Ovis aries: one gene and its partner. The protein of the gene in region 1 interacts with the protein of each later gene in a pairwise test. Links are inferred from orthologs where the notes say so. Each region holds a gene or a part of one and is shown in the gene's direction. Other genes may lie near its edges.

Region 1 (4,637 bases):
TATTATGTTTATTACTTACTGTCTGTTTATTGAAATGTAAACTCCAGGAAGCAATTTTTTTTTCCCTGTGTTTTTAACTGATGTATATCTATGGTGCCTAAAATAGTTTTCAGTAAATAATAGTCATTCAAGAAATCATTGTTCAGTAGAAGAATGAAGAAGCAAGACAGGATTTGGAAAAACAGGTGCTTTTCCATTCAGCAGCTTTGTGACCTGGGAACAGTTTCTTAACCTTTCTTTACAAATTAGTTAACTATTCTATTTGCTCACCTGTAAAGTGGAATAATTTGGGGGACTAGAAGACATCTAGTATGATGTGTGGCATGTTGGAGGTTCTAAATGAATGCTTGTTTCTTTTTTTCCCCCAGTTCTTGGAAAAAATTTTGTTTTCTTTCAAAATCATGGCTACAGGGCTCTCCTTAATGATGTCATCTCATGCTTTTTCTTCATTTGTTTACTCGTGTATTCTTTCAGTGAATATTTACTGAACAGCTAATCCACACTGGGCATTATTTGAGCCAATGAAGAATGTATTGCTGAATGAAACAGACATTAATCCCTGCCCTTGTGGAGGTTACGTTCCATCAGGATAGATAATGAACTAAATAAGTAAACTGTATCATGAGGTAGATGGAGATGAGTGTTATGGAGAAAATTATGAGCAGGAAAGGGTGCGTAGGAGGATCTTGATGTTAAATAGGATCACGAGAGAAGTCCTGGCATAAAAGTGACACTATGTCAGGTACTGAGGGAGGTGAGGAAATGAGCTTTGCTGGCTCCCTGGGAGAAGACCTGTCAAGCAGAGGGGAACATGTCTGGCATGTTGGAGAAACACCTGGGGGCCAGTGTCTCTGGAACAGAGTGTAAAGGGATTAAGTCAGAGAGGAAGCAGGAGGCCACATTGTGTAATCCTGTGTTCAGTACTGAAGCAGTTGGCCTTTGTGGCATCTTTGTGCACATTGAGAAAAGGTGTTTCCTCTGGGCACATGCAGCTGCACAGGTGCTTGACTTGGCTACCCAGGTGCAGCCTGGACTTAAGTCCGCTTGAGGCCTTTGGCACAGCTCAGAGATAGCACAATCCATCGTGGTGGGCTTGGGCTGGTCACTTACAATGTTCTTATACCAGAGTGGTACCTTTCTTTAAGCTTTAGGCGAACACTTGTGTCTTCAGAGGAGAGCTGAAAAGCTCCTGCCTGCTTACACCTTCTCCTCCAGCTTCTGCATGTGGGAGTGCAACACTGAGACAGCCCGACAGGACCGTTTTGAAGCCTTCTGCAAGAGACGAGGGGGTGGTGGTTAGAGGTGACATAAATTAGCATGGGTTTAGGCTTACAGAACTGCATATTCTTTGTCCCTTTTGTAAATAAGTCAAAATATCAGCTTCCTCCTGGAACTATTTAGCCAACTGTAATTAATGTCATCCATAGACTTTTTGAAATGAGTATTTGTTTGGAGCCATATTTGGCTTTGTCATCATCTATGTTTCTAGAACACTTAATCGTGAAAGCTTACTAAATGTTTTACTAAAGGTTAAAATTTGACTCAAAGAAAGAAAAAAACAATACAAAGTGAAACATAACTAGGAGCCCAATATATATTTGATTAATTATTTCCCAGGCAGGAAAATTAGGCAGCTAAAACTATGGGGTCTTTCTTCTGAGTTTCATTGTATGTCTTAATATGCTATTTTGTTGGAAGCTTACTATCAGGACCTTTTTTTTTTTTTTTTCCCCTATTTTCTTGATTTATAAGGAAGTAGTACTGCCAAAAAATAATTCTTTTTTTTTTTTTTTTTTTAATGGGAGACTTGTTAACTACTCTGTTGTGACATGTATTCTTACTAATTAAGGTGTTGGTTCTACTAAAATTGCTGAAAGTTGTTAAATCAGTATGCTCTGGACTCTACACAATGGAGAGTGCAGTGGAGTCACTGAAATATTTTTTAAATCTTCCAAGCTAGGTGTGGACTTTGAGCCAGTGGGTAACTTAAAGCAGAATTTCGGGGTTGTGAATACCAAGTTTCTTTGTGAGAAGCAGTGATTTCTTCAAGATTTAAACTGATGTACATATGGGTGTAGGTTTAACACTGTGAAGAATGGGGTTTAGGAGGAGATAAAGCAAGGAGTTCTGTTTTGGCCATTTGTGTTTATATCCCTGATAAGGACAAAATTCTGCTGGATTTAGGTGATGACTGACCAACAAGAGTAGAGTGTATAATTTGGGAATTTTTACATTTGTTTTAAAGAAGATTTTAAAAAAGACTGTTAGACTTTGAAGTTTTTGGTAGCGTTGTCAGATGGTGTTCTTTTCTAGATACTCTCCTCCTTAAAGATGACTGCATAGTAATCAGAGGCCTAGTCCCTGGGACAGGGAAGTGTTGTCTCGGCTGCATTTCCCTGTTTCATAGACTTCAGGCATCAACTAGTGTGTGAATTTTTTTTTTTTTTTAATGGTTCCCTCTCCTTGCAACCATTACATCCCCACAGTGTAAAACAAAGCCTATATATCTACAACCCATGAGGGTTTGTTTCATTCGTACTAACACCACATTTATTATTGCCACTACTGATGATAAGCAATAGCTATTTTTACTTGACATTTATATAATGTCTTATAGGTTTTTTGTTCAGGTATTGTACAATTGGGGCTTCCCTGGTGGCTCAGTAGTAAAGAATCCTACTGCCAGTGCTGGAGATGTGGGTCCAGTCCCTGGGTGAGGAAGATCCTCTGGAGAAGGAAATTGCAACCCACTCCAGTATTCTTGCCTGGAGAATCCCATGGAGAGGAGCCTGGTGGGCTACAGTCCTTGAGGTTGTAAAAGAGACATGACTTTGTGACTAAAGAACAACAACATTGTACAATTGACATGATACCTTACCTTTTTATTTTTACTCGTGTTATAAAATTCTTACAGCAACTCAGTGAGCAGGACAGCATAACCATAACCTAGTTGAGTAAATTTCGACCCCACGAGGTTGAAGGCTGTAGTTAAGATCAAGTGACTAAATTATGTGAGAACTGAAACTAAAACCACTATTGAAGTCTCTTTTTTGACCTGTGGAGACCCAGACTTCTTTCACCCACAAGAATAGATGAGGGAGGAGTTAGGATTATTTACTTGGTAGACAGGGGAATTTTGTTTGTCAAATGCTTCATTGAAATCAGGTGTCCTGTGATGATGCCACTGTGGACATTGGACAGAGAAAAATTGGCTAGTTGGCTGTGTTATAGCGTAAAATTCATAACTGGTTTAGTATCCAGAGTGTGATCAGTGTTTCCTCTAAGAGTTCTGAAGGCATTCCAAAGGGCTTTGTCTCATACAGGTCTTCAACATACATGTCTGTTTTTGTGAGATACAGACAACAGACCAATCAAATCTTTGAGTGATCTGAGACTTAGGATAACTGTTTCATATTTGCTTCCTTCTCTCTTTAAGCTCCAACTACTTTCCTGCTCTTCAGTCAGAAGAGCGCCATCAACCGCATGGTGATTGATGAACAGCAGAGCCCTGACATCATCCTTCCTATCCACAGCCTTCGGAATGTCCGGGCCATTGACTATGACCCCCTGGACAAGCAACTCTATTGGATTGACTCAAGACAAAACATGATCCGAAAAGCACAAGAAGATGGCAGCCAGGTAATCCAGGGCTCAGTTCAAAATCTGGTTCTTCTGTGTAGTTATTGGACCAGCTGGCCATCCTAGTCTACTTATGCAATGACTCTGCTTGTGTGTGTGTATAAAGCTGGAATTCTGAACCTGGCAGCACTTTTTCTCTCCTAAATGATCTTTGAGTAAACAGTTGTTTGCTAGTGCTATTGAAATGAAGATTGTATTGTATTAAAATAACTTCTGCTCATATATTAGAATGACTTTGTCAGTCCACCCATATCCATTTATATTCCATTTTATATTTTGTTTCGTTTACATGGAGTGTTGGAAACTTTGAAAGCAAACAGACCCTTGGTTCTAATCTCAGCTCTGTCACTCACTAGGATTCTTAAGAATCTTTAGGTGAAAAGAATGTAAAGCACATAGCCCATTACCTATTACACAATAGGTACTCTATAAATAGTAGTTCTTTTACTAGTAACTATCATTTAAAAGTTTCAGAGAATGGGAAGCATAAAACACAATCTCAGTAAAATTAAAAGCATCTAAGATATGTTGTTATTAATCTAATGGTTTTTGGTTTTGTTTTTGTTTTGGTAAATATTACTTGGTGACTGTGGCATAGGAATGAAAGTATTATCAACACATCTTATCTGTGTTTACATTCTAATCATGAGTCACACACCACTGTCCATAATTTGCTTTCTTTTTGTGTCCAGGCAGTATTACACCAGGATCACTATAAATAATTATTTATCATCTTCCTTGTAGCACTAATGTTGTTAGATTTTTAATGTATGAAAATTAGATTGCTAGTTTTTTTTTTAATATCTGATCTGACCAAAAAAAGAGCGAGGAGATAATGTATTTAGGTCTGCTGAGAGATAATTCAAGGTATAGTTATAGCTGTATATTACAGATGCAGTTTACACTGTGTAGGTCAGGACTGATTGGCTGATAACTAGTTGATAGAAATTGTAACTGTTGTTTTATAGCCAAGGACGTAGCAAATAAATGAGACAGCC
Region 2 (4,637 bases), about 56 Mb from region 1:
TGGATTCACTCACTTATTTTAATAATTTCTGTGTGTAAGTGTGTGTGTGTGAAAGATACTAGGTTTATGTGGCTGCTAGGTAGAGAAATTAGGTTCTGTGTTGTACTTGACAACATTAGAATTGTTTCGATCATTTTTACTGAGCAAAGGAAATTCTTTAAATTCAGAACTTTCCAGCAGATGAATTCTATGATTATGTATACGTTTAAACCTTTCAGATTTTGACAGTGAAAGTGGAAGGCTTTCCAAAACATCCTAAGGGAATTATTTCACGCAGAGATGTGGAAAAATTTCTTTCAAAGAAAAAGAGATTTCCAAAGAACTACATGGCACAGTACTTTAAACTCCTAGAAAAATTCCAGATTGCCTTGCCAATTGGAGAAGAATATTTACTGGTTCCAAGCAGGTAAGCTAAAACTTAAAAATTTAATTACTCTATGGAAATTTACCATATATTCTTTTAGTTGTGAAAGTAACTTTGGTCTATGATGAATGTGCTAATTTTTTCCTTCTTGTGTAAACTTTGTACTGGAGTATAGCATTTTCTTTTGGTGAAGACTACATTTGACATTTTAAAGATGTAAATGATTTTATATATATAATTATTATTTGATTTGACAATGCTCAGTTTATTTAAGAAAGGTTAATAGTGGAGATTAGAGAGTGTTTGTGTTGCTGTGTGTGTATGTATGTTCCTCATATGATATTGAAGGAGTTATTAGGCAGATTCTGGAGAAATGGTGATTTTTCAACAGAGTCTTTAAATAATTTATGACTGTGAATTTTCAGAGGATATGGCCAACACAAGGAGTCCTAAATTCTAGCACTGTGTTGTAGAAATTTTTCTTACTGCCTTATAAAACCTGGGAAATGTTATAAAGTAAATGACATTGAAAAGTACAAATTGCAATGATTGATGGATGGTAACTAATTCTAAACACAGATATACACTTGATTCTAGGATATACATATTTTAAAGTTTTATGTAATCCCTTTACTTATTATACATAACTATAATAATTTATTTATAATGTAAATAGGATTACTGAAAAATCTTTATACATCACTTTATCTGAGCATGATTTGAATTGATTAACCATTAAATTTTGAAGTAGGAAGAGTATGTAGCAAAATAACATTACTAAAAAATAAAGTTGCTTAGAATATTTATCATCATCAATTCATTGATTTCAAGTAGTAAAGCACTCTGGTCAGCATGGTTGGGCGTTTTCTGAAGCTATATAATGATAGTGTGCTTTTATCTTTAGTTTGTCTGACCACAGGCCTGTAATAGAGCTTCCCCATTGTGAGAACTCTGAAATTATCATTCGACTGTATGAAATGCCTTATTTTCCAATGGGCTTTTGGTCAAGATTAATCAATCGGTTGCTTGAAATTTCACCTTACATGCTTTCAGGAAGAGGTATGTATTTAATGAAGAATTAATATTTGGAGAAGATAGTTAGAAAGCATATTAAAATTAATATGTCATTTTCCTAGAGTTTACTGGCTTGTAATGCAGCTGAAAATCAGGAAATAAGCTCAAAAGACCTCAGCATGGCCAATATAAAAATATACACAGATAAATTCATGAAATTTGTTAAGAATAAAATTCCTCAAAGTCCACGTGTACTTATTTTAGGCACATTTACAATGTGTATGAATATCTTGCTTTGCAAGCCAAAGCAGACTAGAAGCAGCAGTTTTAAAAGATGAAATTACAGAGTCACTGGCGTAAAAACACCTATCTCCCTGCACGTACACACAAATACGCATGCACGCGTGGAGAAATTAAAAACTAGAAATGACCACCCCCTCAGTCAGGGAGTTTTGTTTAATAGAGTAACAGGTCCTAACCATTCTCTGTGGGGACTACAATAGCTCTATTCTGCTGCATGGTCCCTGAGAGGTTTACAAAAAAGAATAAAGACTTTATCTTGCTATAATTATAAATGACAATGCTAGATCTTCCTCCTGGAAGAAAGAGAGATATTAGTGCTCCAAGGGGGAAAATATAATTTTTCTGTTTTGTGCTTAAAAGCAGCTTTATGGAGATGGTACTGTATTCTGAAATAAACCTTATCTTGCTTGCAGTTAATCAACATACAGATAGTTACATCACATCAAAGTGTTGATTTTAGCATTACCACCAACCTCTTTTTAAAAATTATGGGAACCTGTTTATGATTCTCTTTTTCATCTATTACATATGTTAAACTGCTTGACACCATCAACCTGAAATCTGTCTTAGGTAATCTACTGGGCATTTGTTTGTTTCATTTCAAAATTGAGGACAAAATATTTAATATTATATTTAACAGATAACATATCATTAACAATTCCAGTACTTTCCTTCAAAACAAATACATCTCTGTTACTGTCACTTGTAATATGTGCAGTGATTTTTTTTTTCCCCTACAGTTTATGGAACAACAAATAATTAATAGCTATATTTGGGTTCTTTTAAATTTCTTTCAGAACGAGCACTTCGCCCAAATAGAATGTACTGGCGACAAGGCATTTACTTGAATTGGTCTCCTGAAGCTTACTGCTTGGTAGGATCTGAAGTTTTAGATCATCACCCAGAGAGTTTCTTAAAAATTACAGTTCCCTCTTGTAGAAAAGGTAAGGAAATTAATTCAAAACGGAATTGTACCACTAAAGAAATCTAAACTTTTAAAAAGTTTCTATAGTTCTTTTCAATTTGTGACAGGATAAGGTTCAGCTAGGATGTTAATCAAGTTTTCTTTGGATTACATAGGCTGTATTCTTTTGGGCCAAGTTGTGGACCACATTGATTCTCTCATGGAAGAGTGGTTTCCTGGATTACTGGAGATTGATATTTGCGGTGAAGGAGAAACTCTGCTGAAGAAATGGGCATTATATAGTTTTAATGATGGTGAAGAGCATCAAAAAATATTGCTTGACAACTTGATGAAGAAAGCAGAAGAAGGTATGTATGTGTTGACGCAACTTACAAATGCTTTTAAGTGATTCTTTCAATATTTGCGAAGTGAGTTTTGAAATAAATGTAAAAATGGATTGCTCTTATTTACAAGGGATAAGTTAGAGGATACTATATTCAATTATAGTTAACAGTTCAGAAAAATATATTTATTGCCAGTAAGATCTTATACTTTAGATTCAGAAAAAATGTTGGTGTGAGAGTTTGAATACTGGCTACTGGGCAATGATATGTCATCTGTGAAGTGAGATTATTAACCAAAACTATGCCATACAATTGTTATGAAGATTAGAATAGATGATACATGGATGTAACTTAGTAATGTCAGCCATATGCTGTGTTCCATGAATGTTGTGAAAGTAAAGAATATATAATTTCCTAGTCATATATCAATAGCCTAGGCAGTTCTGAGTTCTACTTTCTAGTGAGTGAACCTAGGAATGAGTTTTTAAACTTCCAAATAGAGAGTAACTCAACTTTTAAAACATTCTCAAATTTTCTAGAGAAAAATAAGATTGGAAAGTGAACCTAAGAGTGATTGGAACGCATAGACAATATGTGATTATTTCTGTAAATCAAAAGGACAAATTTATGTACAATCTTAAAGGTTTATCTTTAAAAAAAAATGTTTTATGTACTTCTCAGGAGACCTCCTAGTAAATCCAGATCAACCAAGACTCACAATTCCAATATCTCAGATTGCTCCTGATTTGATTTTGGCTGATCTGCCTAGAAATATTATGTTGAATAATGATGAATTGGAATTTGAACAAGCTCCAGAGTTTCTCTTAGGTAACTGTTTTTGTTGGTTTGAGAATAAAAATTAGGGTATGGTTTTATAATCTAGCAAATATTCACATATAATTACATTGTCATAGTTTTTAGTATCTTCATATATTTTTGTAATTTTTTTCTTTGGGATAATATATTTTAAAGTAACGTGTTACAAATCTGGAATTTGCTTTGCTTGCACACATTTGTACTCTAGGTTTCCATCTCTGTGGAAGCACAGGTATTTATGAAACATATCCTTGCATTTGTTTTAATTGTTCAATTGTCAGTGATAGGGAAGGCAGTTAGGAAATTTTCAGAGGAGTAATTCAGCCATTTTCCAGTTGCAAAAAGAATAAATAAAGGAGGAACACCTCTATGTAGTGATAGTGGCAGTTATGTTACTCTATATAACAAGCATAAATTTTCATTAAAAGAGTCACAAAAACCAATTTGGGTTTAAAAATTCAAAAGTATTAGATTGGTAATATACTCAAGTTCTAAACATTCCCAAGAGTCCTTGGGACCTGAGAAGAGTATTGAATTTATTTAATGTAAAGTATTTAAAGACAATTCTGACTTTACTTTGTGGAGTATTTGTTGCTGTTATGAATATTTACATTTAATTTTAATTAAACTTTCACAGAGAGGATGATTAAAATATATGCCAGAATATTAATATTATTAATAAACCAAGTCTAAAATTCAGGATATGACATGTAGGAGTAAATAAACTCCTTGTACCTTTATTTTTTACATTGATTGGGAAATTTAGGATGATTTTAAATACCTTAGAACTCTAGAAGTGAATATATTATTATTACAAGGTTAATGCAAAATGCTGAATTAGCAACACTGAATCTTAGGTCTTAACCAACACCAAACTTGACTTGTGATTTGA

Evidence for each region. The genes of interacting proteins can lie anywhere in the genome.
Region 2: the proteins of LRP6 (region 1) and LRRK2 interact in binary tests that used the Homo sapiens proteins (3 or more experiments, as listed by UniProt). The link is inferred for Ovis aries from reciprocal best matches to the Homo sapiens genes LRP6 and LRRK2.

The regions. Positions count from the first base shown.
Region 1 is NC_056056.1:203,329,128-203,333,764, forward strand, and holds part of LRP6 (low-density lipoprotein receptor-related protein 6), read left to right. Parts: intron 1-3,436; coding exon 3,437-3,639; intron 3,640-4,637. UniProt on the Homo sapiens protein: Component of the Wnt-Fzd-LRP5-LRP6 complex that triggers beta-catenin signaling through inducing aggregation of receptor-ligand complexes into ribosome-sized signalosomes.
Region 2 is NC_056056.1:146,885,771-146,890,407, reverse strand, and holds part of LRRK2 (leucine-rich repeat serine/threonine-protein kinase 2), read left to right. Parts: intron 1-218; coding exon 219-406; intron 407-1,268; coding exon 1,269-1,423; intron 1,424-2,478; coding exon 2,479-2,625; intron 2,626-2,761; coding exon 2,762-2,953; intron 2,954-3,610; coding exon 3,611-3,757; intron 3,758-4,637. UniProt on the Homo sapiens protein: Serine/threonine-protein kinase which phosphorylates a broad range of proteins involved in multiple processes such as neuronal plasticity, innate immunity, autophagy, and vesicle trafficking.